7 linked regions of the Sus scrofa genome follow. The protein of the gene in region 2 interacts with the protein of the main gene of each other region in a biochemical or structural test. Links are inferred from orthologs where the notes say so. Each region holds a gene or a part of one and is shown on either strand. Other genes may lie near its edges.

What was found.
Region 1: the proteins of SNTB1 (region 2) and FRMPD4 interact in a test that uses a peptide from one of them, tested with the Homo sapiens proteins (2 studies listed by IntAct, with this or other methods). The link is inferred for Sus scrofa from reciprocal best matches to the Homo sapiens genes SNTB1 and FRMPD4.
Region 3: the proteins of SNTB1 (region 2) and SLC16A7 interact in a test that uses a peptide from one of them, tested with the Homo sapiens proteins (2 studies listed by IntAct, with this or other methods). The link is inferred for Sus scrofa from reciprocal best matches to the Homo sapiens genes SNTB1 and SLC16A7.
Region 4: the proteins of SNTB1 (region 2) and DGKZ form a complex in vitro, tested with the Homo sapiens proteins (2 studies listed by BioGRID and IntAct, with this or other methods). The link is inferred for Sus scrofa from reciprocal best matches to the Homo sapiens genes SNTB1 and DGKZ.
Region 5: the proteins of SNTB1 (region 2) and GUCY1A2 interact in a test that uses a peptide from one of them, tested with the Homo sapiens proteins (2 studies listed by IntAct, with this or other methods). The link is inferred for Sus scrofa from reciprocal best matches to the Homo sapiens genes SNTB1 and GUCY1A2.
Region 6: the proteins of SNTB1 (region 2) and TANC1 interact in a test that uses a peptide from one of them, tested with the Homo sapiens proteins (2 studies listed by IntAct, with this or other methods). The link is inferred for Sus scrofa from reciprocal best matches to the Homo sapiens genes SNTB1 and TANC1.
Region 7: the proteins of SNTB1 (region 2) and RPS6KA1 interact in a test that uses a peptide from one of them, tested with the Homo sapiens proteins (2 studies listed by BioGRID and IntAct, with this or other methods). The link is inferred for Sus scrofa from reciprocal best matches to the Homo sapiens genes SNTB1 and RPS6KA1.

What each region holds. Positions count from the first base shown.
Region 1 is NC_010461.5:9,426,039-9,429,538, forward strand, and holds part of FRMPD4 (FERM and PDZ domain-containing protein 4), read left to right. Parts: intron 1-720; coding exon 721-859; intron 860-3,500. UniProt on the Homo sapiens protein: Positive regulator of dendritic spine morphogenesis and density. Required for the maintenance of excitatory synaptic transmission. Binds phosphatidylinositol 4,5-bisphosphate.
Region 2 is NC_010446.5:18,515,756-18,519,255, forward strand, and holds part of SNTB1 (beta-1-syntrophin), read left to right. Parts: intron 1-2,000; coding exon 2,001-2,191; intron 2,192-3,500. UniProt on the Homo sapiens protein: Adapter protein that binds to and probably organizes the subcellular localization of a variety of membrane proteins. May link various receptors to the actin cytoskeleton and the dystrophin glycoprotein complex.
Region 3 is NC_010447.5:24,810,509-24,814,008, reverse strand, and holds part of SLC16A7 (monocarboxylate transporter 2), read right to left. Parts: intron 905-3,500; 5' UTR 875-904; coding exon 655-874; intron 1-654. UniProt on the Homo sapiens protein: Proton-coupled monocarboxylate symporter. Catalyzes the rapid transport across the plasma membrane of monocarboxylates such as L-lactate, pyruvate and ketone bodies, acetoacetate, beta-hydroxybutyrate and acetate.
Region 4 is NC_010444.4:16,148,771-16,153,055, reverse strand, and holds the start of DGKZ (diacylglycerol kinase zeta), read left to right. Parts: upstream 1-1,485; 5' UTR 1,486-4,285. UniProt on the Homo sapiens protein: Diacylglycerol kinase that converts diacylglycerol/DAG into phosphatidic acid/phosphatidate/PA and regulates the respective levels of these two bioactive lipids.
Region 5 is NC_010451.4:62,206,081-62,209,580, forward strand, and holds part of GUCY1A2 (guanylate cyclase soluble subunit alpha-2), read left to right. Parts: intron 1-1,508; coding exon 1,509-2,227; intron 2,228-3,500. UniProt on the Homo sapiens protein: Has guanylyl cyclase on binding to the beta-1 subunit. Isoform 2 acts as a negative regulator of guanylyl cyclase activity as it forms non-functional heterodimers with the beta subunits.
Region 6 is NC_010457.5:65,918,695-65,922,967, forward strand, and holds the start of TANC1 (protein TANC1), read left to right. Parts: upstream 1-1,473; 5' UTR 1,474-1,688; intron 1,689-4,273. UniProt on the Homo sapiens protein: May be a scaffold component in the postsynaptic density.
Region 7 is NC_010448.4:83,941,157-83,944,422, forward strand, and holds part of RPS6KA1 (ribosomal protein S6 kinase alpha-1), read left to right. Parts: intron 1-2,924; coding exon 2,925-3,086; intron 3,087-3,266. UniProt on the Homo sapiens protein: Serine/threonine-protein kinase that acts downstream of ERK (MAPK1/ERK2 and MAPK3/ERK1) signaling and mediates mitogenic and stress-induced activation of the transcription factors CREB1, ETV1/ER81 and NR4A1/NUR77, regulates translation through RPS6 and EIF4B phosphorylation, and mediates cellular proliferation, survival, and differentiation by modulating mTOR signaling and repressing pro-apoptotic function of BAD and DAPK1.

The sequences.
Region 1 (3,500 bases), on a different chromosome or scaffold from region 2:
TCAGCCAAGGCCATTGTCCTGGCCGGTGTCCTCTCACTGTTTCTCTGCCTCTCCAGATGTCTGCTTCTCTGTTGCTTCCTTACTTCTCTCTCACTTTCTCTCTCTTTCAGTAAGAACACACCAGCTCATTCACCCTTCCGAAGCCAATGAGAATAACCACCTCCCTATGTGGCCAAGATCCGGGTCCAATTATGTGATAATTGGACGCTATCATTTCATTGTTTCCAGAAAGTTTTAGCAAGGCCTTTTCTCAACTCCCGTGTCTGTTTTGCCCTCCTGTGAATTTTTGATTCCTTTTAGAAGCATCCTTTTCCTGGACCGCTTTGGTACTTTTCATTCAGTCTTAGCAGTAATTTCCACTTGATTTTTACTTCAACACTGAGTTTCACCACAAACCCAAATTTAATCTTCCTGTTCTTTTTCAGATTGCTGGCTCCCATCTGGTAACTGACCCCTTAACTGTGACTTTTTAAAATGTTAGCTGTTTGGAACAAAACTAGCATTTGTGCTTTTGTCTGTTTGTTTGTTTGTTTAATCGCCTGTGACTTGGCAAAGATTCAGAATCTCTAGGCTTTCAAAATGGTATCACCATTTGTGTTGGTGCAATGGAAGGACTTCCCATGACTTCATTTATTCACATTTCATAAGCCTACATTGTAGTCACTTGAGGGAGGAATATTAAGCAGGGTTGGCTTTAACTGAAAGTTCTCTTTTGTGTAGCCCATCACGCTCCTGATGGAATCTTCCGATGCCATGAACCTGGCCTGCTTAACGGCTGGATACTACAGGCTGCTCGTGGATTCCAGAAGGTCCATATTTAACATGGCCAACAAGAAAAGCACAGGGGCCCAGGAGACAGGTATTCTTTCCCAGCTCGTGGAGCGCTGACCTCCCTTCCCCTTCCCACCTGACAGCAATAATAAGCATACTTTTTACAAAGTTAAAATTGTACCCATGAAAAGATCGCCTGTCCAAATTTAACACAAAAGCCTTCAAACACATTTTTTTTTTTCTTTTTAGGGCCCCACCTGTACCTATGGAAGTTCCCAGGCTAAGGTCGAATCAGAGCCACAGCCTCCACCACAGCCATGGCAACCCCGGCTCTGAGCCGCATCCGTGACCTACACCGCAGCTTGCAGCAACGCCAGCTCCTTCACCCACTGAGCAAGGCCAGGGATTGAACCCACATCCTCATGGAGACTAGTTGGGTTCTTCACCCGTTGAGCCACAATGGGAACTCCCTCAAATACTTCTGATATGGTCTAATTTCTTTTTAAATGACAGTGTTGATTTTTTTTTTCCACCCCTTTTTGGCATGTCGCTTGGCAATGTCAGGTACATGCTTCTGGAGCAGTGATTTGCTTATTGTGAAGGGCGTGGGCATCAGCCTTCATGGCTGAGTTTTTACTGCCTGACTTTTCCCGAGGTCTCTCAGGGCACAGAGAACTAAGACTGGAACACCCAGTAGGAGTCGTAAGCCCCCAGCTTTAGGGCTTGTCCCTCCTTAAGGTGCCCTAGGTCCAGATGCCTGGGCGCCCCCTCCTACATCAGATTGACCTCCAGGATTTGGGGAGCTCTACCAACAGCAAGACTTGGGAATTACCCAGCCCTTGAACTTGGGACTCTAGAAGGGTCCCTGGCAGCCATCTTAGCTCCGTGGCGGGAGCATCAAGATGGCAACAGTCCTATACTTCATCTTAGCTACCTGACAGGAAGAAATAGCTCCAGAGTGAGGAGGAGGAGGAGGGGGCTGCAGCTGTTTAACTGATGGCTTCATTGAGGGTGAGTGGTTTTCATTTGAACATTTTGCTCCATCTGCAGTGCACCCTCAGCAAATGTGGCTGATGGACGGATCCCACCATTCAAGCCAGAGCTACTGACACATGAAAAAAGTATAATGGGGTTCCATAATCCAGGTTTCCTTTAAAAGGAAGGGAAATTCTTCAGAACAAATTCCATTGTCACTGTTTGTAAGAGAAGGTGGGGGGGGAAAGAAGGGAAGAAAAATCCTCTACTTTTGCTTTTTAATTTTTTAAAAATTTTAAAAATTTTATTGAAGTAGAACTGATTGACAATATTAAGTTAGTTTCATGTGTATAGCACCGTGATTCAGATACACACACACACATACACATACATATATTCTTTTTCAGATTCTTTTCCCTTGTTGGTTATTATAAAACACTGTGCTATACAGTAGGTCTTTGTTGGTTATCTGTTTTATATACAATAGTGTATGTGTGTTAACCCCAACCTCCTAATTTATCTCCCCCCACTTTCCCCTTTGGTAACTACAAATTTGTTTTCTATGTCTGTGGATCAATTTCTGGCTTATAAATAAGTTGATTTGTGTCTTTTTTTTTTTAAGATTCCACATATAAGAGATATTGTATGATATTTGTCTTTGGCTTACCGAATTTAAGCATGATAATTTCTAGGTACATCTGTATGGCTGCAAATGGCAAAATTTCATTCTTTTTTATGGCTGAGTAATATTTCATTGTATGTAAATAATATACCATATCTCCTTTATTTGTTCATCTGTTGATGGACATTTAGGTTGTAGTTCCTTACAAAACTAAAAATAGAGTTTCCATATAATCCTGCATTCCCACTCCTGGGCATATATCCAGAGAAAACAATAGTTTGAAAAGACTCATGAACTTCAGTGTTCATAGCAGCCCTCCTTATAATGGCCAAGACATGGAACCAACCTAAATGTCTGAAATGTTTGCATGTAGCCAAAAACATAAAGCATTACTCCATAAATACATAGTAATATGTAGCCATGCCCACACAGAGACAAACGGGTACACAGTTTATTATGATGGCTGGTTAAGTGGAAACACTTGCAGTCAAAGGGTAAAGGAAAACCAGAGAGAAGAGAGGTGAGCACGGCGTGCCAGAAGGCAACCCTGACTTGGAACTAGATTTTATCCAGCCCCACCTTGAAGTGCCTTTTGTGTCTAAGTGACACAGATGAATAATAAATCAAGAAGGACCAAAAAGGAGGTGGTGAGTGTGTGCCAGGTTCAGTGGTGATTATTTCTGTGGACCACATTCTCATTGAGTGAGGAGATGTAGAGCGATTTAACTCTGACCTTCGAAATTCCAAAGACAATTTAACACCATTCTTTCCCATTGGAAAATCAGTTTTAGGCTTTTGATTTTCAACTCTTAAAGTTCATTGTGAAAACCAAACCTTTTCCCCTTTTCCCCATGGACTGCTAAGATTGCACATGTGCAAGAAGAAAACCAAAACAACCATTCTAAAACAGTTACAGTAATAAGGGCCTCAGTTCTGTCCAATTTATCGTGACTCACAAGGTAATGTTTAATAAAGTTTTAAGAGGCAAAAACTTGGTTCCAAAAAGTATTCTGTCACCACAGGGAAAGAATGAAACTTCAATCTTTCAGTACTTTGCCTCAGTTCAACAGTGAGAATGAAGGTGATGGCATATGTTCCAGATAGTACACACGTGCGCATGTGCATACGTGTG
Region 2 (3,500 bases):
TTTAATGAAGTCCTGTGCAAAACAGCAGAGAAATCCAGACTCCTTGCAACAACTTCAGGAGTGTTCTAGAAAAGAATGAAGATGACCAAAGGGGTTTGGCTTAGTTTACATTCCACAAATTTCATAAAATCCTTTTCTCAACAAGCTGAACTCTACTTATCAGGAAAACAATGAGGCCGTTGATAGAGCAGCCAGAGGAGAATAACAAAGAGTTTGTGTGGACTGAGCTAGCTGGGTGGTGGGAGTGAAGAAATTATGGAAATGACCAAAGGTGCAACCCAGTTTCAAACGGAAAGATGCCCGCAGAGAGTTGGGCAAACAAGCTTATGTTTTAATCAGCGCTTCAATTAACTTGATAATGTCTTCAATTTTTCCTGTGTAGATTAAGAATATCTTCAGATAACCAATTCCATTATATAAAGGCCACAACAAATACCACTTGAGGTCAACTAGAAGGAAAAGTCATCACAATCATTTAATTCAGACCGCCTGATGGCCTGGCTCTAAAGTTCAAACACAGAGGAAGGGAGTAAAGAAAACATGTTTAGAGCCCATGTGCACACATACTCTGCAGATGTTACAAATGAAAAGTGTCAAAATCGAGGATTCATGGTGGGAAGCCATTAACTACATTAGTGCCGAGGCTATGTTACCTTTTGGTTGTCCTTGGACTGGGTGGAGGAGATTCAGGGCTCTTCTGAGAGGCTTATTTAAGAGTTGCCAATGGGGCTGTGCCCAGAAGGGCTCATAGACCTATTAGGGAATGCACCTCTGCAAAATATCAAACCTTAGTTTACAAGTTAAAAGATGACTGCAGAAGTCGCAGGAAGGGGTATCCAGTTACCCACTTCATTCTGTGAGCAGAGAGACACCCTATTTCTTCCCCCAGACGGAAGGGCTCTCCCACCCTAGTTATTACTGAGAGCCTCTCTGCCAAGGTCCTTCTTCACCTTCCTCCTTAGCCTGAGCACCAGAGTATGAGAAGGATGCAGGAGACAGAGTGGAGGAAAGAACTTGACTCTTGAAATCTAAACCACTGGGTTATGACATGTTCACCTCTCTGAGCTTTGTTTTTTGTTTTTTTCTTTATAGGCCACAGATGCAGCATACAGAAGTTGCCAGGCTAGGGTCAAATCAGAGCTACACCTGCTGGTCTACACCACAGCCACAGCAACTTGGGGTCAGAGCCATGTCTGTGACCTAAACCACAGCTCACAGCAACACGGGATCCTTAACCCACTGAGCGAGGCCAGGGACCGAACCCCCATCTTCATGAATACTAGTCTGGTTTGTTAACTGCTGGGCCACGATAGGAACTCCTTTTTTTTTTTTTTTTTTTAACCTATTATATTAATCTAAGGTCCTGCTTCCAAAGAGTCGTAAAGTGAAATTCAGTGTGGTGTATAAAGCTGAGCTGAGCTTTAAAGAGTAGTCAACTACCTTCACTCCTCTGGAGCCCCATAGCCAGCAAGGAAAATGTCCTCGTTTCCCTGAAGAGTTTCCAGCGGCATATGAAGACCAGAGGCAGTTTACTAGCCAGGGGTTGTTAAATGCGGTGTTTTCTGAGGCAAAAAAATCCAACCTGATGCTTAATCACCTTTTCCAGAACTCTTTTGATTAAAGGGTTTTTTTTTGTTTGTTTTTTTTATGGCCACACCCGTGGCATATGGAAGTTCCCAGGTTAGGGGTCCAGTTGGAGCTGCAGCTGCTGGTCTATGCCACAGCCACAGCAACGCCAGATCCAAGCTGCATCTGCGACCTATACCACAGCTCACGGCAATGCTGGATCCCCGACCCACTGAGAGAAGAACCCGCATCCTCATGGATACTAGTCAGATTTGTTTCCACTGAGCCACAACAGGAACTCCTGATTATTAATTTTTAACTTGAGAAAGAAGTTTGTGACTGGGCCCTGAGAGTGAGGAGACTTGAAGGTCAAGTGCCTGGGGAAATGACAGGCTTCCATTGTTCACATTTTGTCCCTTCTCTGTCTCTATCAGCTTGTACCTACAAAAACCAGGAGTGCCGTTTGACCATCCATTATGAGAATGGATTTTCTGTTACCACTGAACCACAGGAGGGTGCCTTTCCCAAGACAATCATACAGGCTCCTTATGAAAAGCTGAAAATGTCTTCAGATGATGGAATCAGGATGCTGTATTTAGATTTTGGAGGCAAAGATGGAGAGCTCGTAAGTGTACTTTTCCTTAGTTTGATTTCATGTATTTCATCATGCACCACACGTTGCTTGCAAACATAATGCTTATATTTATTTAGCATTTGACTGTTAACAAAGTACTCAGACAGGTTCATGTCATATTCAATCCTTGAAAAACAGTGATCAGATCTAATTTTTTCAGATCTGTACCTTGGTCTCATTTTTCATCAGAATACTACAGAAATATGTGAATCAAAGATAAGGATCCTTTACAAAGCCTTAAGTTCTTCTCAAAGAGAGTCCCACCAGCCTCAAAAGGTACCTTTAACTGTTTAAAGGTCTCAAGCATCTACTTTAACCTGGGCATTGTGCTAGGTGTCAGACATGCAGGGGTATAAAGTGCAGGGTCTCAAAGCCCTGGCCAGCTGGGAGTTCTCAGAGGATCAGAGACCTTGAAGAGGGCGGGGTGGAGGTGGAGTGGGGTTGGGGCTGGACCAGGAGCAGAGCAAAAGGGGCAGTGAGGAAACCAAGCAAAAATGGTCCCTCCTAGGGGAATGGAGAGAGGGCCAGACAGGGGCCCAGGAGTTTTGAGAGCATGTCAAAATGTGTCCAACAAAATCAGCCAGTTGCTCAGTTAAGGTAACATTTATACTTCTCATAGCAATGCAAATTGCCCATGTATTTATAATCATGATTTCCTGTGATCGTGACTGCCAACGCTAATGAAGGAGTTCCCTTGTGGCACAGCAGGTTGGGGATCCAGTGCTGTCACTGTGGCCTGGGTAACTGCTCTGGCAAGGGTTCGATCCCTGGTCGGGGAACTTCGGTGTGCCATGGGCACAGCCGAGAAAACAAAACTATGTTATTTCAGTTCCACTGAAAAGTGAAGCTGCACATTCTATTTCCTGGCAAGTGTCATTCTCAGGAAGACACAGCATCTCATATAAGCCGTGGAATGTTGAACTTCAAAGAGGACTTGATTCGGAACAACTAGTCTCTGTTTAGGTCCTTCCTAGTCACTGGCTTAGTCAACAAATAATTATTGGCTCACATTTGCTAACAGAGATGGGGGCTATATGAAATACAGAGATCAATCGCAATTTTAAAGATCTAGTCATTTCACCTCAGCTACTAGCCTTGCACAAGACCTCCTCCTCTCAGTCCCCGCTCTCTGAAGGAAGGGGTCAGGGCCACGCTGAAAAGAGCAAAGGGGCCTTTAATCTCAAAGTTTCAGCACCCCCGTTTAAGATCTTGCAACACCACTAGCCCCAGTGTGGTACCACATTTCTTCCTGCGGGTATCGCAGGCTGTCACGATGAAGTCGGTGCCCGGCAGCTGACAG
Region 3 (3,500 bases), on a different chromosome or scaffold from region 2:
CAGGCAACCATTTAAATTAAAAATGGAATATTTAATAAGTACTGCATGGATAAGGAATTACTTTATTCACACAAACTTGAACAGATCCAGAATGTACATGATAACACTCCACTTGTGCCGCTTAAAGTGAATTGCTTTCTAGGCTTATAGATTTTCAGTAACTTGAGGTTTTTTTTGTTATTTTTTCATTAAGAAAAAAGTATTCCTACTAATGGTAGCAATAGTAGCTGATAATACTGACTTTATAGCACAGACTACATTCCAAATTAAATGGAAAAATGCTTCCCTTAAAAATTCCATAATTTAATAAATCTTGGTGCCAAGACATCCTTATTTGAATATAAATACCTGAGTTAGATTCAGAATGAAAAGAATGTATATATTTATGTGTGACTGGGTCACTTTGTTGTACAGTAGAAAACTGACAGAACACTGTAAACCAGCTATAACGGAAAAAATAAAAATCATTTTTAAAAAAGAATGAAGTGAATAGCTTAAGATGTTGAGTCAGTAAAATGACTAAAAATTCAGTCCTAATTATACTTGGTTTTAAGTGACTATCACACAAAGAAAGGGCTTTAATATACTAAGACACAGTGGCATAGAAGAATTGTTTTCTTAAATCAAAATTCTATTTAGTCCAATGAATCTTACCTCCTGCGTACATAACAGCCAGCATAATCGATGATATCCATGCTATTTCACTGTAGGTTGTGTTGAATATTTGCTGAATTTCTTTGAAGAAGACTGTGACAGCTTTTGGAAATGCATATGAAAATCCAATGGAGATAAAAGATGCTCCAACCACCACCCAGCCCCATCCTCCATCAGGAGGTGGGTGTGGTGGTGGGGAGCCTGCTGCTGGTGGTGGCATTTCTACTCCTCTATTTGAAATTCAAGAAACCTATTTAAAAGATGAAATGATGATTTAAACCATATTTCCATTTTCATAGATCACTCTTAACATTTACCAAAATAATATTTTCCAGTTGTAATACAACTATATAATTTTTCACAAATTTTTTAATACTCTCGTACTTATATAAAGTTATCAGAAAATTTACCCCCAAATTGGAGTGAGGTACGCAACTTTGTTATGGGCTAAAAACTGAAAGCATTTGTTTATGGAAGCAGAAATTACTCAATGAGAAGTTAAGTTCCAACCAAAAAATAAAAGGTAATCTCAATCAGATCTCTAAGATAAGTGATAAGATCATCACTTAATATAGGATAATTTCTTAATCTAAAACATTCAAGATTTTTAACAAAGGTTAAAAGGTCCATATATTAAATCTGATGAACTTTAGAGCATTAAATAGTAGGTGTATTTTAGAATTTCTCCATTTTGTGTGTGTGTGTGTGTGTGTGTGTAGGTTGGATCTGCGGCATATGGAGGTTCCCAGGCTAGGGGTTGAATCGGAGCTACAGCCGCTGGCCTACGCCACACCCACAGCAATGCAGGATCCGAGCTGCATCTGTAACCGATACCATAGCTCACAGCAATGCTGCTGGATCCTTAACCCACTGAGCGAGGCTAGGGATGGAACCCACAACCTCATGGTTACTAGTCAGATTTGTTTCCGCTGTGCCACAATGTGAACTCTCTCTACTTTTAATAATTGAGAATACTTAATATTTTAGCAGAGATCTTTTTTCTCAGCTTGTAGGATTAGAAATTGTATGGTTCTAAGCAATTAATTATAATGTGCTTTCAAAATTGGCACTGTCTATGATTATACATGAATGATACATTTTATGAAGTCTTCATAGCAATGAAATGCTCCCAATCAATTGGATGGTATACTACTTTTACTAAAAGAAAGGGACTTTTTGGATATGCTTAGGAACACAACTGTTAGCTTTATGGTATAGAGTTCCCACCCCGTTGTGGAAGAAATGATCACATATACCTTAATACAACTGAAATTAAATTGAAAATATCTTGGTTCCCTAACATCAGCGTTTCTTTGTAGAATGAGGCTGCTTGTTTGGCTTTTAGCTGTAATCTCCACTATTTCTCAGTATCTTCTTTTTACTACTCTCATTCTATCTGTGACTATTTTCCAACGGAAATAGTGAAAAAAGAAAATATTTTTCTGCTGGTAAGATAATGTTGAAAATAAAAGCTAAATTTGCCACTAAATCAGAAAACCTACCAAAAAAACTACACGCTACCTATGAAAACAAACACAGGGGTTTAATTTTTGTTTAATGTCAAATGGTATCTACAATATTTTCAGTGTTCTCCATGCCCTTTTTAGATCTTTAGTGAAAATATGCTCTGAAGTTTTCTAATTCGTCCGTAGTTATACCCAAGGACTTTGCTTTCAGAAATTCAAAAAGGCAAAATGATAAAATAAAATAAGAGCACTGTTTTCCTAGGCGATGAGTCGCAGATTAGAAATAACAATGTGGGCAACTATTACCCTCACTTTTTTTTTGAATGTTAATTTTGACAAATATACTTTGGTAAATATTCTACAGATGTTAGCTGTTTAAATTGATCCCAAATACCATACCTTGTCAAAGAATGATTTTGAAAAGATTTGTATGTCTTCAGTATATTTACAGTCAGCTTTTGTAATACTTTCTGCTTTCTTGGAAACAATAAAAATTATCTATGTCATCTGTCTATTAAATTTGGCTTCTCTTTGGTCATCAGTAAATCCAGCACAGTGGATTTATAGCATATGACCACTGGAAATAACATCTTTTAAAAAGTAGAATACTTAAGGAACAAAGAAAAGGAAAGAGATAAATTATAAACACTGGTTAAACCAGCTGAAAAGAGCACTCGGTCTTTGAAAGTTGTCTAAATAATCTGAATTTACATATTATTGAATTTCATTATTGTATTTTTAAACTAGCCAAATGTCTTATTGCTTGAAAATAAAATAAATCTAGAAGAATACTAAAGAATGCCAGAGAGCACTTATGTGGTAACTACTTTTTTTGTTGTATTATCCAAGTGTAAAAATCATCATAGGGTTTTAAGTCCTTATTGTATAATTTTCCTGCTTTTGCACAAAGAAAATGAAACCACCTTTCATTGTTAATTCATAATATTAAACTATTGTAGCTTTTATCATATCTATATTCCAAATACTTAGAAATATAACCAGAGAATTTATTTTTCAGTTATTTCGAAAATCACAAATAACACATTTCTAAATAATCTTAAAATCATTATATCTATTGATTGAACTTTACTAATATTCAAATCATGCTATTACTATTAATACTGAAATGTACTAATGAGCTAGGTTGGTAGTGGGATTTCCATTTAACAGACAGGAATCTATCCTCATAGAAAAATGAAGGGGCTTTTTAAAAAAGCATTACATGATGGGGTCATTTTTTTCTCAGTACTTTCTGTGTTTTATTATTTTTTCATAGTTCACCAGTTATCTCAGTATGTGATCGTTCATTCTCTTTTCCCAGCATATTTACTTGATTTTAGTTATAATGGCATCCTCGAGATTGTGAGTCACCTCTCATAT
Region 4 (4,285 bases), on a different chromosome or scaffold from region 2:
GACACAGCTCGGATCTGGCATTGCGGTGGCTGTGGTGTAGACTGGTGGCTACAGCTCCATTCGACCCCTTGTCTGGGAACCTCCATATGCTGTGGGTGCGGCCCTAAAAAAACAAAAACAAAACTTCCTTTTCTAACTACTTGTCAGTGTGAAGCAGAATTTTCTTCATATACTTCAACCAAAACAGCACATCACCACAGATTGACTGCAGAGGCAAATATTAGAATCCAGCTATCTTCTGTTAAGCCAGACGTTAGAGATTCACAGAAATTAAAACATCCCACTCTCCTCGCTGCTTTATTGTTTCAGAAGGTATAGTTTGTTTTTTCATAAAAGTATGTTATTTATATTAATAGATAATGGCTTTATGGTTTTTAAACAAATTAATAGTATTTTAGACATTTCTGAGTTTTAATTTGTCATAATGGTAAATATTAATAGCTATAACCCCCACAAACAAAACCATTTGAGGGAGTTCCCACTGTGGCGCAGCAGGTTACCTGTCCGCTATTGTCTCTGCAGCAGCACAGGTGCAACCGGGATCTTCTATATACTGTGAGTGTGGCCAAAACAAACAAACAAAACTATTTTGGGATCTTCAATGATAAAAAAAAGAGTGTAAGGGGGTCCTGGGCCCAGGAAGTTTGAGAGCTGCCATGCTAGATAGACCCTAGGGGCCAAGAGTATGAACTGTGGGGTGGCATTCTGGGCAGTTTAGAGGTGACATGGGCTGGCCTCTCCTGGATCTGACAGGCCCCCTTGGCAGGGCTGGGAAACTGGGGACCCAGAGGCTCTGCTCAGCCACTTCTGAGCTGCGGGCAGTCAGCCCTCCACGAGCCTCAGGACCTTGATGTTTGAGCTGGGACTGAAATGCCTGTTGCATAGGGGAGTACAAGCCTCCTGTCTGGCAGTGCTTGTGAAAAAGTGCTTTGTAAGTTGTGAAACACTCCACATATTTATTTTTGTGGTTATTTTATCTGGAGCCCGGGCTTAGCTGTCTCACATGCTCTCCTCAGACCCTGGAAAACCTATCTAGTGGGTGTGACAGGCTGTTGGGTGACCCCCATAGTTCCCACCCCCCCATCGCTGAGGCAGGGGCTGTGCTGTGACAGGTGCCAGGTGGAGGGGAGGCTCCTGGGCTGCTGCTCCGCTTGGCTCTGAGGACTTTGGGAAGAGAAGCCAGGAGGCAAGGCTCGTGCGCGTGTGGTGTGTGCTGCCCGCCCACTGCCGCCTGCTTGCACTGCTGGGAGAGGAAGTGCAGTCGGTTACCAATCGGGTTATTTTCATAACGGCTGTCTCAGGCTGGGGGGAGGAGGGTGGCGAGGGGGAGGGGGCAGAGGAGCAGCCACAGCGGCGGCTCACTCTCCAAACTAGGACTTGCTCAGCCAGTGGCCAGCAGCCCGGAGCTGGAGCCAGAGCCGGGGCTCGCCCGCCCACGGGGACCCCAGCCCCCACCTGCCGCCCTGCCTTCCAGATCAGGTCAAAGGGGCTCCCCCCAACCCTCCCTTGCCTTCTGCTTCCTCCCTCCTGCATCTGTCTGGGTGGGTCTGGGGAGGAGGGGGTCCGGGTGGGCCCAGGCACCACCGTCCCCAGACGAGGCTCCTGAAGCTGATGGAAAGGGACCGGGAAAGAGGAGGCCCACCGAGCTCGGGACCCCGAGCCAGGCAGACCCCGTCGAGGTTAACACTTACTGGCCTGGTCACCTCCTTCACTGTGCAGCTCTGGCCCACCTCTCCCCACTGTGCAGTGTGGTTTTGTTTGGTTGGGTTTGGTTATGGCAGGCCCCCTGTAGTGAGTAGAGACCTAGGAACTCTGCCTCGCCAGCCCCCCGGCAGGCCCCCCCTTCCAGCCGTCCCTCAGACCTGGGGCAGGGGGAGCAAAGCAGCCAGAGGTGGCTTCTGACCAGCAGACCCTGGGGAAGCAGCACCAGGCCCTGACCACTACGCATCATTTCCCAGGCAGAGGGGCGTGTGGGGCGCTGCCCACAGCATGGGGTGGGCACTCCAGCCGAATCCCACAAGGTGACCTGAGCGAGCACCTCTGGAGGCAGAGAAGTCCCTGGGAGCCAGGCCTGATGCCAGAGGCAGAGGGCCCTCTCAGCATGAGCAGATACCCAGATGGCTCTGGCTGCCAGGCTCTCTTCCTCATGTGGGTGGTGGCCGTCCGGGGTACTCCTGCTTCCCTTTCTGGGTCCCCACCCCCACTGTGGGCAGAGACAAACCCCAAGAGGTGGCACAGTCTGCACACCCTGGCGCTGCTGTGGGCGTGGGCTCTGCCGTGCCCCTCCTCTCTGCCAGGTACCTATTGTCAGGTATTTTATACCAGAGTCTTAGCCGAACCTCCCTTATGTCAGACCTTCCAAACTAGGTAGTATCGTCCCCATTTGGCAGGTAAGAAAATTGAGACTCAGGAAACTTTGTCGATCAGCCCGGGGAAAGCAATGGCAGATGTAGGAGTCCAAAGCCCGCAGGCTTTTCCACTTGAAACTGAAATGGGGTGTGAGACAGTCTGGTGGGCTGGGAGGCCAGGAACCCTGTCCTTTTAGCCAGTAGCTGATGAAGCTGGGGCCCTCGTGTCCCCTCACCCCAGCAGCTGCCTTAGCCTTGCCGCTGCAGCCACACTCACGGCTGTTCATCGAGGGCGTGTGGCCAGACCCCTCCACCCCCCCGCCCGCATGTGTGTCTCCCCATAGCATCCTCTGTCCTCCCCAGGCTCCCATCAGCGGGCCCCATGAGTCCTTTCCCGCCCTGTCTCCTTCGGGTGTAAGAGGCTTCCCCAGTCCCCCACCAGGAGGCCGAGGGGCAGCCGTTTTGCTCTGCCGTTGGTGTCGGAACCCTGTGGGGCCTCCTCTGATGACCTTTGCACGTGTGGTATGTGGTATGTGGAAGGCGAGGGTGTGAGGTGAGAAGGAGCCGCCCCTCCGAGCTGCGCTGTGGGAAGAAACTCCAGGCCCAGGCAGAGGAAAGGCTGGGACAGGCCTGAGGCCAGGCTGGGCTTCTGACCAGACCCCGGAGAAGCCTCAGCAGAGATAGGAAGTCAGGAGTCAGGCAACTGCTGACCAGAGGACAGAGGTTTCTATGGCGACCTGGGGAACAGGAAGCATGGGGCCCGGGGAGGGAGTGTTGGGAGCATGGAGGCGTGGGGGCCTCCTAGGAGAGCTTGTCATAAAAGGTCCACTCAGCCAGCCAACAGCCTCCCTGGGCAAACGAGGAAACTGAGGCCTGTGAGGGAGGGGCTTTGCACATGGTCACCCAACCCCAGCCCAGCCTCACCTGCCCAGCTGCCCACGCATCGAGGCAGCCAAGGAGAGCTCGGGCCATGCGCAGGCCAGGGCACGGGGGGAGCACCTATACGCTGCCCCCCCACCCCCCCACACCCATGTCGTGAGGGAGGGTACGGGCCACCTCTTCCTCCTGGTCCCTCTTGTGGGCATCCGTCTGGGGCAGCAGGCAGGGTCCAGCCCTCCCCGCTGCCCATGGTGAGCCTATCACCCCCCCCCCCCCCGCACTGACTGTGGCCTTTTGTTTTCTGAGTGACACTCGCATCAGGTGGTGTGTTCGGGTGACTAATCTCCTCCAGGCTGGGCAGCTGTCACAGGGCGGCCTGACCAGGCGGGTGGGGAAAGCCGACACCCTGGGGGAGCACTGGCAAGCCGGTGCCTTGGCAGCAGTGGGCAGCTGGGCCTTCAGCTTCCTCTTCCCGGGTGCAGAGCAGACCCCATGTCAGGCAGACCTGGGATCAGGTCCTAGTCCTGTCACTGGCCAGCTGTGTGACCTTGGAGCATGTTACTGTACGTCGTCAAGCCTCAGTTTCCTCGTCTCTGTAATGGAGCCGTTGGTCCTGCCTGCCTCTTGGGGTGGTGGTGGGGATCAAAGAAGCTGGCACATGAGAGTGCTTAGCCCAGGTGTTGGGGTAAAGGGACCACTACTGCTTTATTATGGCTCCCTTCCTGCCCCCGTCCCACCTGAGTGCCAGCTCCTGGTCCAGGAGGGCAGCCCCTGCTCTCCCTGTATCTCAGGTGCAGGCTTTGTCCTCCTCAGGTGGAGGCGGGTTCCAGCGCTGGCTCCGCATCGACCAGCTATGCACCTGAGCAGGTTACCTCCTTGCACGTCCTCAGGAACTGAGCATGATGTGTGTTCTGTAGGGTGCTGCGGTTTATGAAATGGCACACGTTTGTAAAGGGCTCAGTGCAGTGCCTGACACGTGTGGGCGCTCCGTAAATGTGAGCCTTGATGGTACTGATTTTCGGAGGGAGCCAAGAGCTCTCCTGCCCTTCTCCCTGTCA
Region 5 (3,500 bases), on a different chromosome or scaffold from region 2:
AGTCTTAAAGACAGCCTAGACTGCTTTGCATTCTAATGGGACACTAGCAAAGGGACCTGTTTTTTTTTTTTTTTTTCTGTCCTAACGTTTAGGACTTCCTTATAAGATGGGATAGGTGAGACAATAAAATATGAATATGTAGAATAGATGTTTTGATTTCAGCTGAAGTCAAAGGAGAAGCTCTAGCATGTGTTAACGTAGAAGTTTCTTAGGATACCGACTCAACTCTTTTATCTGTGCTGTATACATTCTTCCTCTTTGGACCAATATGTTTCCTCTGTATTTTTCCTTTAATCATCTTCAAGTGTTGATCTAACTAGATCACAGGTTATTCTGCTTCTAATTATCATATAACATGTTGTATGCATATTTGTTATAAATTATTATAATCCATTGTTATAAAGTAGATTTCCTTTTACTATGGCATTTGGGAAAGAATATGAACTGAGAAAACTGAACAATGGCCTTTAACTCTGTCTGTTCAGATTCTTACTCCACTTTTATTTTCTCTTATTTTTGTAGGTGAAAGAATGAATGCAAATCATTTCACAGTTTTATTTCCTTGTTTTGTTTTTCTCTTCCTGGGGTCTAGCTGACCTTCATGCCTTTCTCTGAGATTACTAATTTAAGTCCTTCTGTTTACATGAGATAACCTGATACCTTTCTCTGCCCATGTACTATAGATTCCCTCTCTGGTTGATATTTCCCACTTAACAAATGAATTTTGGTAAACAAAATAGTAATATTGAATGGACATGATTATGGAGACAATTTTATAGTTGCCTCACAAATTCTTTAAAGATGAGGGAAATCATTAAGGAAGATATATTATTCATGATAATTACAACACATGGAATAGGGTATTGAAAAGAAAAGAGTATAGCTAGCTTAGCATTTAAAAAGTTAGTGCTTCAGGGGTTGAGGGAAAGGAGAAATGCATAGGTAGAGTAGAGCACAAAGAATTTTGAGGGCAGAAAAAATACTCTGTATGATACTATAATAGTGAGCACAGAGACTATAATGGTGAACACATGTTATTGTACATCTGTCAAAACTCAGATGCTCAACACCAAGAATAAACACTATTGGGTGATATTGATATGTCAGTGTAGGTTCATTGGTTGTAACTAACATAACACTGATGCACAATATCGATAGTTATGAGGGGTAGTGTGTGTGGGATACAGGGGGTACTTGGAAAATATCTTTATATTCTGGTCAGTTTTGCTATGAATCTAAAACTGTTCTAAAAATAAAGTTTATTAAAAACAAACAACAACAGCCAAAGTTTATGCTTATTGACATCTCAAAAGCATCATGAACATACTAAATTTTTCTTTCTTTAACTCAAAATATATGAATTAAACTATTTGAGTAATTGAGGTTCTCAAAGGGAAATACCTCTCTTGCTGCACTCACTAGCTACCTCATTTGATAAACATTACAAAAGCTATAAATTCAATTACTTATGCTGTACTTCATTAACTTTTGGTTCCATTTGTCTCTAGGTTTGAAGTTTGAGGAAATTCAAGAAAGATTTGGTGAGGAGTTCTTTAATATATGCTTCGATGAGAATGAAAGAGTTCTTCGAGCTGTAGGTGGCACGTTGCAGGACTTTTTTAATGGCTTTGATGCTTTATTGGAACACATTAGAACTTCTTTTGGAAAACAGGCCACTCTGGAGTCTCCGTCATTCCTATGCAAAGAGCTCCCTGAAGGTACTCTTATGCTTCACTACTTCCACCCTCACCATATTGTGGGATTTGCAATGCTTGGGATGATTAAAGCTGCAGGAAAGAAGATCTATCGGCTGGATGTAGAAGTTGATCAGGTTGCAAATGAGAAACTGTGCTCAGATGGTTCAAACCCAGGCAACTGTAGCTGTCTTTCTTTCCTTATCAAACAATGTGAAAATACTAATATCACGAAGAACCTTCCACAGGGAACCTCCCAAGTTCCTGCAGACCTGAGAATTAGCATCAACACCTTCTGCAGAGCCTTCCCTTTCCACTTGATGTTTGACCCCCACATGTCAGTCCTTCAGCTGGGAGAAGGACTAAGGAAACAGCTCCGATGTGACACTCACAAAGTGCTTATGTTTGAGGACTGCTTCGAGATCGTTTCTCCAAAGATTAATGCCACCTTTGAAAGGGTCCTGCTGCGACTGTCTACTCCGTTTGTGATCAGGACCAAGCCTGAGGCTTCTGGCACTGAGAATAAAGAAAAGGTAAGTGACTTGATGTGGGTGGTGGGAACTAGGAGATTACATAATTGTTTCAGTAGATAACATGCTGGCAGTACTTGTAATTATTTAGGCAAGAGAGCTTAGTGTGCCATTTAGAAAATTACTGGCCCCTGGACATATCAAAAAAGATTTGGATTTATTCCCAGCCATTTGCATAATCCCTTTCATTAATTTATTTCATCATATAAAAAGAAGAAATGTATTTTTACTAGCCATAGTAATTATAAAAATGATAGGACTCACTAACAACCTGATACTGTAAATCCATGAATATTTCCATTGATTTAAGTCAAACTGTGACAGAAATGGTAAGACTGATTGCAACATTGTGGGAAGGATAACCTAAATAAATGTGGGTAAAACACTAGCTATACTTTGAATATGTTATGCTCTAAATTTCATAATCTAGGAACATATGGTTTATATCCTTTTTTTTCTTAAGGTGCAGAATAATGTATTTTCTAAAAGTTAAAAATTAAGTCACTATCTTAAGACTTCTCTTCTGATTAAACTTTAGTATTGATAAAAACACATTTCTTGAGAATATGTTCATTCTTTGAGAGAATACAGAATACACTAGGATTATTCTATCATTCAATTTAGGAAATATTAAAGCTGTTGGTTTTGTTTTACAAAACTACAATATTCGGCTTGGAGAGATTTGGCCTGAGAACTGAAGTTAATGTTTTTGAAAATGTGCCTGAAGTAGAATATATTATTACCAACTGTTAATTGCTTTATACATTTTGTAGATTTGAGAAAAATTAATTCAATTTGAAGTTACTGCTTCAGATTTTTCCTCCTATATTTCATCTGGCTTGAATGTCTATTTAATTTGTATACCATGGTAAGAAATAGACACAATGAAATGATGACTCAAATGCCAAGGCCCCCTGCCAGTTACAATAATGAGGAACTGTGCTCATTGAGAAGATGCAATTATAATTTAAACATGTTAGTGGCAGTTTAAAAATAAAGCAATAGGCAGGATTTTTAGTTAGAATAAAGATAGCAATCCTCTCATCCTGTTTACGTTTCTGCTTATTCACCTGGGTTTGCCAGAATAGGAAATTTGGGAGCCTACAATTGGTCCAAACAAAATTACAGTCAATAAAGTTATGCATGGAATCATAACCAGATGAATAATATTTTTGAACTATTATGTTGCCAAATTCCAAATTTATAATTTCCTAAAATATGGCAAGAAGAAAATCTTGGTTAAAAATTTTGATTCTGTTGATAAATTTGAATTTTT
Region 6 (4,273 bases), on a different chromosome or scaffold from region 2:
CTGCTTTTTAATCTATTGTTGAAAGATTGGTAACTTGTTTGTATTTCATTTCAAGAGAAATTAAATAAAATGCATTACCATATTTTTCAGTAATGAGATATTTCAGAGTGAAGAAATAAGTCAATAGCTTTTCTGGTTTAGTAAGTTTATGTTTTAAATATTCATATCCTGCTTTGTTTCAGGACGACTTCAAGGCTGCTGATATGTTTACTGTTCAAATATCAGGACAGTAATAATCAAGCCTTTAAAACTGTGGGTGAAAAAGCCAGCAAATTTCAGTCATCTTTTATTTATGTAAAGAGATTGTATGTCATTTTACTTCCTGTCCCTTTTCACAGGAACTTTACATATGGACTCTCCTCTTACTAGGAATCTTTATATTGGGAAGCTCTGCGTGAGGTTGAAGTTTTTATGGGGGAACTTGATTAAAACACAGTTGTCTTTAAAGGCGGGTTTGCCACATAAGGTTAGGGGTTGCCAATAAATCCATTTATAGCAACTTCTGTATTCCCTGCTCCAGACACATTATCTGGGTGACCGGTGCACGATTCCCACAGGCCATGCAAGGCAGCAACAGTCTTAGCTGATCCCTCCGTGACCAAGGCTGATTTAAAGGGCTTCGGGTGTGGACTGGGCCGAGCCCCCCAGCCTGAATTGCTTGCCTGGGATCTTGGGGGGACTCCAGAATCTTTGGGCCCTATCCTGGTTTTCCTCTGCTAGGGTATAACAATACATTTTAGAAACTTGGTAATTTAATTTACTGCTGCCAACCGAAACAATAATAGCATCTTTGTGTTTCTCCTACCTCCATACCTCCCTCCTCCCGCCGATACAAGCACGATGTTGGCCCTGCGTAAATACAGCACAGAACAACACAGGGCCACCCCAGAGCGATTGGAGGCTCTGGGACCTGGTCCCAGGGGCGCAGGAGGCAATCACGGGCTCCTGAAAGTCCCTAATTCGCATTTGGGAAAGAAAAAGACACAGCAGGCGAGATGCCCCTTACACCTTCCATCTGCCTGAACTCAATCTTGCTCCAGAAAGTGAATGTTTGAGCGCGCGCGCGCACGTGTGTGTGGTGTGTAGTTAAGTGAGGCAGAGAAAATTCAAGAAAGCCACACAAGTCACCCTAAAGCATCCACCAAAATTTCAGCTTGGTTAATTGCTCCCATATGTCCTCCTCCGCTGCTTTCAAAAAGCAGCAAGGAGGGGGGAGGCCGGGCCACTTCACTGATTTGTAGAGGTTGAAAAAAAGATTATCACCCATCTTGATCCAATCCTGGAGGGGCCTAAGCGAAGCATCGGGGGCCTAGCCCCACTGGGGGAAGGTCGGGGGTGGGGGGACCCTATAGAAAGTTCGCGCACCGCACCCCAGCGGGTCCCAGGAGCTGCCGCAGCCCAGGGCTGGGAGGGGCGCGGGAGGCGCGGCCCGGGCGGGCGCGCGAGAGGAAGGTGCCTTCGGGAACACGCGCAAGGGCGGGGATTCGCGCTGCCAATGAGGCCCGGCTGTGGGCTGTGCGAGGAGGGGGGACGGGCGGGAGCGCAGCCTTAGCTGTGGCAGCTGCGGGAGCAGCGGCCGCCTTGGGAGTCGGAGGAGAGGTAGCCGCGGAGCGCAGAGCTGGCCGCGCCCCGAGGCCCGGCCCTGGGGGTGGGGAGCAGCGCGGAGGAGCTGGAAACTTTCCCTGCAGGTAACTCCCGCCGCTCTGGCGCCGCCGCCGGGCTCCGCGCGTCCGGGGCAGGACCAGCTGCTGCAGTGCAGAGGGGAGCTGGGGGTCCCGGGAAGAGGAGAGGGTGATGGGGAGAGTGGAAAGGCATGTGGGAAAGTTTCTGGAGCCTCCCTGCCCCCCTTCGCTGGGCACACCCGGGAGCTTTCCGGGGATAGGCACGGACATGTTGGGCGCTCCGGGCCTTGGTCCTGGCGTCTCTGGAGAATCGGTGCCTTCTTTTAGCTTCCCCACTGCGACGGACCGAGCGGGCCCCGGGTGGAGCTGGGGTTCGGGGGCACTGGGAACGCGCGGCGGCACGCTCGAGTTTCGGGATCACCCCCGCCCGGCGCGTCTCCGCGCCCCCCTTCCCGCCTCCTCTGTAGCCTCTGGGCTTGGCAAGGGCCTGGCTGCGCCTGGTACCTGGGGCAGGAGAGGCGGGGGAGAGGTGCGCCTGCCACCGTGGGGTCCAGGGCGCCCCGGGAGTGTAGGTGAGCGCGGGTCGCGAAGTTGACGCGTGAACTTAAACCCCAGCAGAGTTGAAAGTATTGCTTCGCTTCCAAGAACATTGCGATGAGTATATCCACGTTTTTTGGGGGAAGGGGTAGGTGAATTAGGATTAGAGATTGAAGGAGAGTTGGAATTGTATTAAGGTTATGTACCCTCCCGTTCTTGGAGAGTGAAGCGTGCTTACTTCTTTTGGGAAACATATATCGGGGGCAAGTTCTTCCTGCAGGACTTTGGGGTGCGGGCGCGCCACGTTGTGGGTGTGAGGGGCTCCCGGCTTTGGCGCTGGAGCTTTCCGGAACGGCTGGCGAGGAAGGAAGCCCTAAGGCATTGTGTGCGGTGTTTGCCGACAGAGACGTCGCTAGACCGGCGTTCTCAAAACTTACTTCACTTATTGTGTGAGGCTCCGGGAGGAAATGCGGCGGTGGCCAGGTAGAAATACGGCGCTGCGCCCGGGGGTTCGGAGGTCACCCGGCTCCGTGACAGTCTTTCCCGTACCAACTCCCTCCAGCCCACCCTTGGCAGCCCCAGATCCCGGTGCCTCGAGGGATGGTACTCGTCTCGGTAGCGCCCTTCCTTGCTGGAATAAACTCGGGGAGGTTAGGAGGGCACCTTCATCTTGAACTTGACCCTAGAAGAATCGAAGTCTGGGAAGGTTGCAAGATAAAGGAAGCTGAATCTTCCCGTGGGATGGGCCTCCCACTCTGGCAAGGAAAGGAAGTGCCTGGTTTAGGATCTTTGAGGAATTGGGTTTAGGACTGCTGAGGTCGTTAACTTGAAATGCCAGACCCTCAGGCTGCAGAAGTTAATCTGTTTGTAGAGATGGGAGAGGAAAGGTGAAACCGGGTTGGTGGGTACAGAGAGTTGGTATTTCTGTGTAGCAGCCATGAAGGCAGTCTGTATCTCTGCTTTCACCAGGTCCGCTACTCTCTCTCTTTTTCCTTCCTGGGTCATCTTTAGTCCTGCCAGGCTGGCACTCCTAGGGTGGGGGAGGGGAAGGAGAAGAAAGCAGTTGGGAAACTTCCTGGCCAGCTTGGAGGTATTTAAGATCTGCTACTCTGAGGATTCCAGGATTTTAACAGCTGCTTCTTGATTGCTGGGAATGAAAGAATTTACGAGCCATCCAGAGATGTTCATTATAGTGGTAGTCTGAATGTTTTACCCATCTAAGCTTCTTAAAGATCTCGCAAGGGACCTTCAGTAGAGTATGCCAGTTTGTGTCCACCAGAATGCTTATTGGGTGTCAGAGCTCATGGTAAATATATCCTGGCGGTATTAAGATGAAAAGTATGTGGGAGTAAAGGAAATATGGTATCTGACATCCTTCAGGACTTCCTCCTAGGGTTGCTCCTGTTACCTGCCAAGTGAATTCAGTCCAGGCTTCCGGACTGTTGTGATTTGACAATAAGAGATGGGAAATAGTGTCATCGATTTTAGTGGAGGCAGGAAAGTCCAGAAATAAATTTCAGGTCGCTTTCCATGACCCTGTCTTTCAGCTGTGATGCCACAAATTTAACTTTTGCTGGGACTTGTAAGCCGTGTTTTTCCTGCCTCTTTGGTTTAACCACCAGAATGTCTAAATTATCATAATTCATGTCCACCGTGGAACTAAAACATAACCCATTCATAGTCAGCCTTTTTCTGTTTCCCATAACAGCCTGTAGAAAAAAAGAACATTTTGTCTCTTTAACCACACACAATTTATCTGGTGCCATAGTGGGTTTTTGATAGTGGGTGACCAAGGATGCAAATGTAAAGACAATGGAATTTTCTCTGTTAAATTGTTCATTTTTAGGCAACATCTCCCTCTGAGTTGCTGATTAATTCTTTATCTTTTGGGCAACATTAAAATCAGTATCCCTGGGCTGGTAGAGCTGTAATCCATATTATAATGATGCCTGCCATCATAGCTGGAGGTTAATGTTATGTTGATGTTTCCAGTAGACATTTTTAACCCGATTGTAAAGGTTTTTGTCTGAGTTGGGTTACAAGTAGATTTTGAGTCTCATAGTCAGAGATGGCTTTATTTTTTATCTTTCTGTTGAAAAGTTTAGTTTAACTTG
Region 7 (3,266 bases), on a different chromosome or scaffold from region 2:
TGTGACAAGAGGGTATCATTTTGCCCATTTTGTAAGTGAGGAAACTGAGGCTCTGGGAGCTTAAGTACAAGTCTCATAGTTAAACTGGCCCCAGAGTCTGTGCCCCTAACTTGTGTGTGATTGGTTGCTGCTTTGACAGCATCTGTCCTCTCATTTTCCTATCCTTCCGGTTCTTCCTCTCATTTTTAAAAAATTTTTGTTATGGTTGATTTACAGAGTTTTGTCAATTTCTGCTGTACAGCAGAGTGACCCAGTTTTTTATATATATTTATGTTCTTTTTCTCATATTACCTTACATGATGTTCCATCACAACTGATTGGGTAAAGTTCCCTGTGGCTATACAGCAGTGGTCTGCTAATTTTTAAGGGATTCTTAACAGGCAGTGGCTGTATCTTAACATCCAGCATGTTGGTGGGGTTCAGCCCCAGAGAGGCTGGGGTTACTACGGCAGCAGCTTCCATTTTCCAAGCCTTGGGCTGCATATTTCTGGTACGTAACTCATGTGCTCCTTCCTGCAACCCTGAGCGCTGAGCACTCTTAGCCCCATTTTACAGGTGAGAAAACCAAGGGCTAGAGAGATTAAGTGACATGCCAAGATTGCACATCTACTGCTGGTAAAGCCAGGATTCCCACTCTGGCCTCTCTGCCTCCTGACTGAAATCACAGCTCTGCCAGAGGCCAGCAGGGCCTGTTGACTCAGTGGTTGCGTTTGGCCTGCACACGTATTTTGTTTGGCCTGCACAGCATGGGTGTCCTCTTGTTTGGGATTTGGCTTGGTTTGGTCATTTGTCTTTGGGAACCTGGGCATGGTGACTGTCAGCTGGAGTGAGCAGCAGCTACCCTCTGAGCCTGTTGGCATGTCTCCACTGGGGCTATGCAAGAACCATCTCATAAAGCCAGCTAACGTGAGACTCAGCTGATCCAACCTGCAAGGTCTCTGCGTGTTTCAGGGTGTGAGTCGTTCGTTCAGTGCACAAAGTTCACAAAGTGCTTGTTCTGTGTGAGGCCCTGTGCTGGGTGCTGGGGTGAGGAGGGCTTCCCCCGATAGATATGGTGACTTATGGCTGAAGGAACCCCCCTGTCCCCCGGCCTGAGCTTGGGATACTTGAGCACTGTAGTGGACAGTGAGGCTGGAACAGATCGCCAAGCCTTCCATATCCAGATGGGGACCTCAGGCTTTATCCTGCAAGTAGTAGGGAGCCACTGAAGGTTTTTGACCACACTCAGGGAGGCCCCGTGAACTCATGGGAGGAGGAACAGAAGGGTGAGGACAAGTTTAGTCTGGGATGTGTTGGGTTTGAGGGCCTATGGAATATTCAGTGGTTGTCATCTGGTAAGCAGCCATAGGAGCCCGGACTCAGAGATCTGAGAGTTGTCAATAATTAGCGAGAGTTAGAGGAGTGACTATGAATAGAACCATGGAGAAGGAGAGGGGGTGGATGAGAAGTTATTAGGGTGGCTTGGCCTCCTCTGGTTCCAGATGATCAAATGGGGCCTGAGGAAAGTCATTTGCTTAAGGCCTCAGTAGTAAGCGTCATTCATCCATTCATTCAGCAGATTCTTATTGAATGCCTCCTCTGGGCTAGGAACTAACCTGAATTTCCGGATACAGCAGTGGGCAAAACACCCACGGAGTCTGCATTCCGGTGGGTGGATTCAGAAAACAAGTAAATATCCAATGGTGGTCAATGCTGTGGATAAAGAGAAAGCAGAGTGAGGGGACTGAGGAGTGCTGGTCCGTGATTGCTGTTTTATACAGAATGGTCCAGGGAAGGCCTCACTAGTAAGGTGACATTTGAGCTGCAACCTGAAAGAAAAGAAGAGAATGAGGCAGCAGGTGCCTGAGAGAAGAATATTCCAGAAAGAGGGCATGGCAAGTGCAAAGGCCCTGAGGCAGGAGGGAGCTTGGCACATTGAAAGAAGAGCAAAGAGGCTGGTGTGGCCAAAGCCAGCCCAGGGAGAAGAGTGGGAGGGACCAGAGAGTGCATGAGGTGTGGGCGAGGGGCCAGGGATTCATCAGGTGGGGCCACCAGCCATTGCAGAGACTTTTCCTCTTAAGAGGGGAACCCTTGGAGGTGACATGACCTGACTTACATTTAACAGGATCACTCTGGCTGCTCTGTTTAGAATAGGCTGTGGAAGACAAGGTGGGGAGCAAGGAGACCAGTTAGGGGGTGGATGCTGTAATCCAGGGGAGGGATGGTGGTTAGGCTGGGGTCAGAATGATGCTGCCAGTAGAGATGCTAAGAAGTGGTTGGGCTCTGGATTTTTTTTTTTTTTTTTTTTTAGGGCCACGCCCACGGCATGTGCGGCATATGGAGGTTCCCAGGCTAGGGGTGGAATCAGAGCTACAGTTGCTGATCTATGCCAGAGCCACAGCAACACAGGATCTGAGCCGAGTCTGCGATGCTCACCACAGCTCATGGCAACACCAGATCCTTAACCCACTGAACAAGGGCAGGGATCGAACCCGCATCCTCATGGATCCTAGACAGGTTCATTAACCACTGAGCCATAAAGGAAACTCCCCTGGATATATTTTAATGGTAGAGCCAGCAGAGCTTGCTGATGGGTCGATTGAGGAATATGAGCGAAAAAAAGAGGAATGGAGTGTGACTCTTAAGATTTTGGCTCAGGCATTGGGAAGGGTGGAGTTGCCATTGGGTAAGACTGTGTGATGGGCAGGTTTGAGGAGTTGGGTGTAGACAGGTGGAGTTAGCACTGCCTCACAGACATTGACTTAAAGGTTTCAGGTTGGCAGTACCAGTAGCGCTCAGGCCCCTTTTCAGCCCCTACCTCTCCTTTTAGATTCTGGATCCTCCATCCCAACCCCTGTGTCCATCTTCTAACTCTCCCATCCCTGGCAGTTGCCCTGGGCTGCTGGCAGCCTGCCAACATTGAGAATTGACCCTTCTGCCCCCAGGTTGTGCACAGGGACCTCAAGCCCAGCAACATCCTGTATGTTGACGAGTCTGGAAACCCTGAGTGCCTGCGTATCTGTGACTTTGGCTTTGCCAAGCAGCTGCGGGCTGAGAATGGGCTTCTCATGACACCTTGCTATACTGCCAACTTCGTGGCACCTGAGGTGAGTGGCCCAGCCCCCTCAGCTGCAAGAGCAAGGGGGCCTGGTACAGGAGGCCAGGGTCCCCTCCAGAGGCCCCATACCATCCAGGACTCTAGTCTCTGTGGCCTTGGCCCAGGTAGAATCAGCCCATGCCTGGGACCCTTGTCCTACCCTTTGGGGAGCAGCAAGCAAGCATATGGG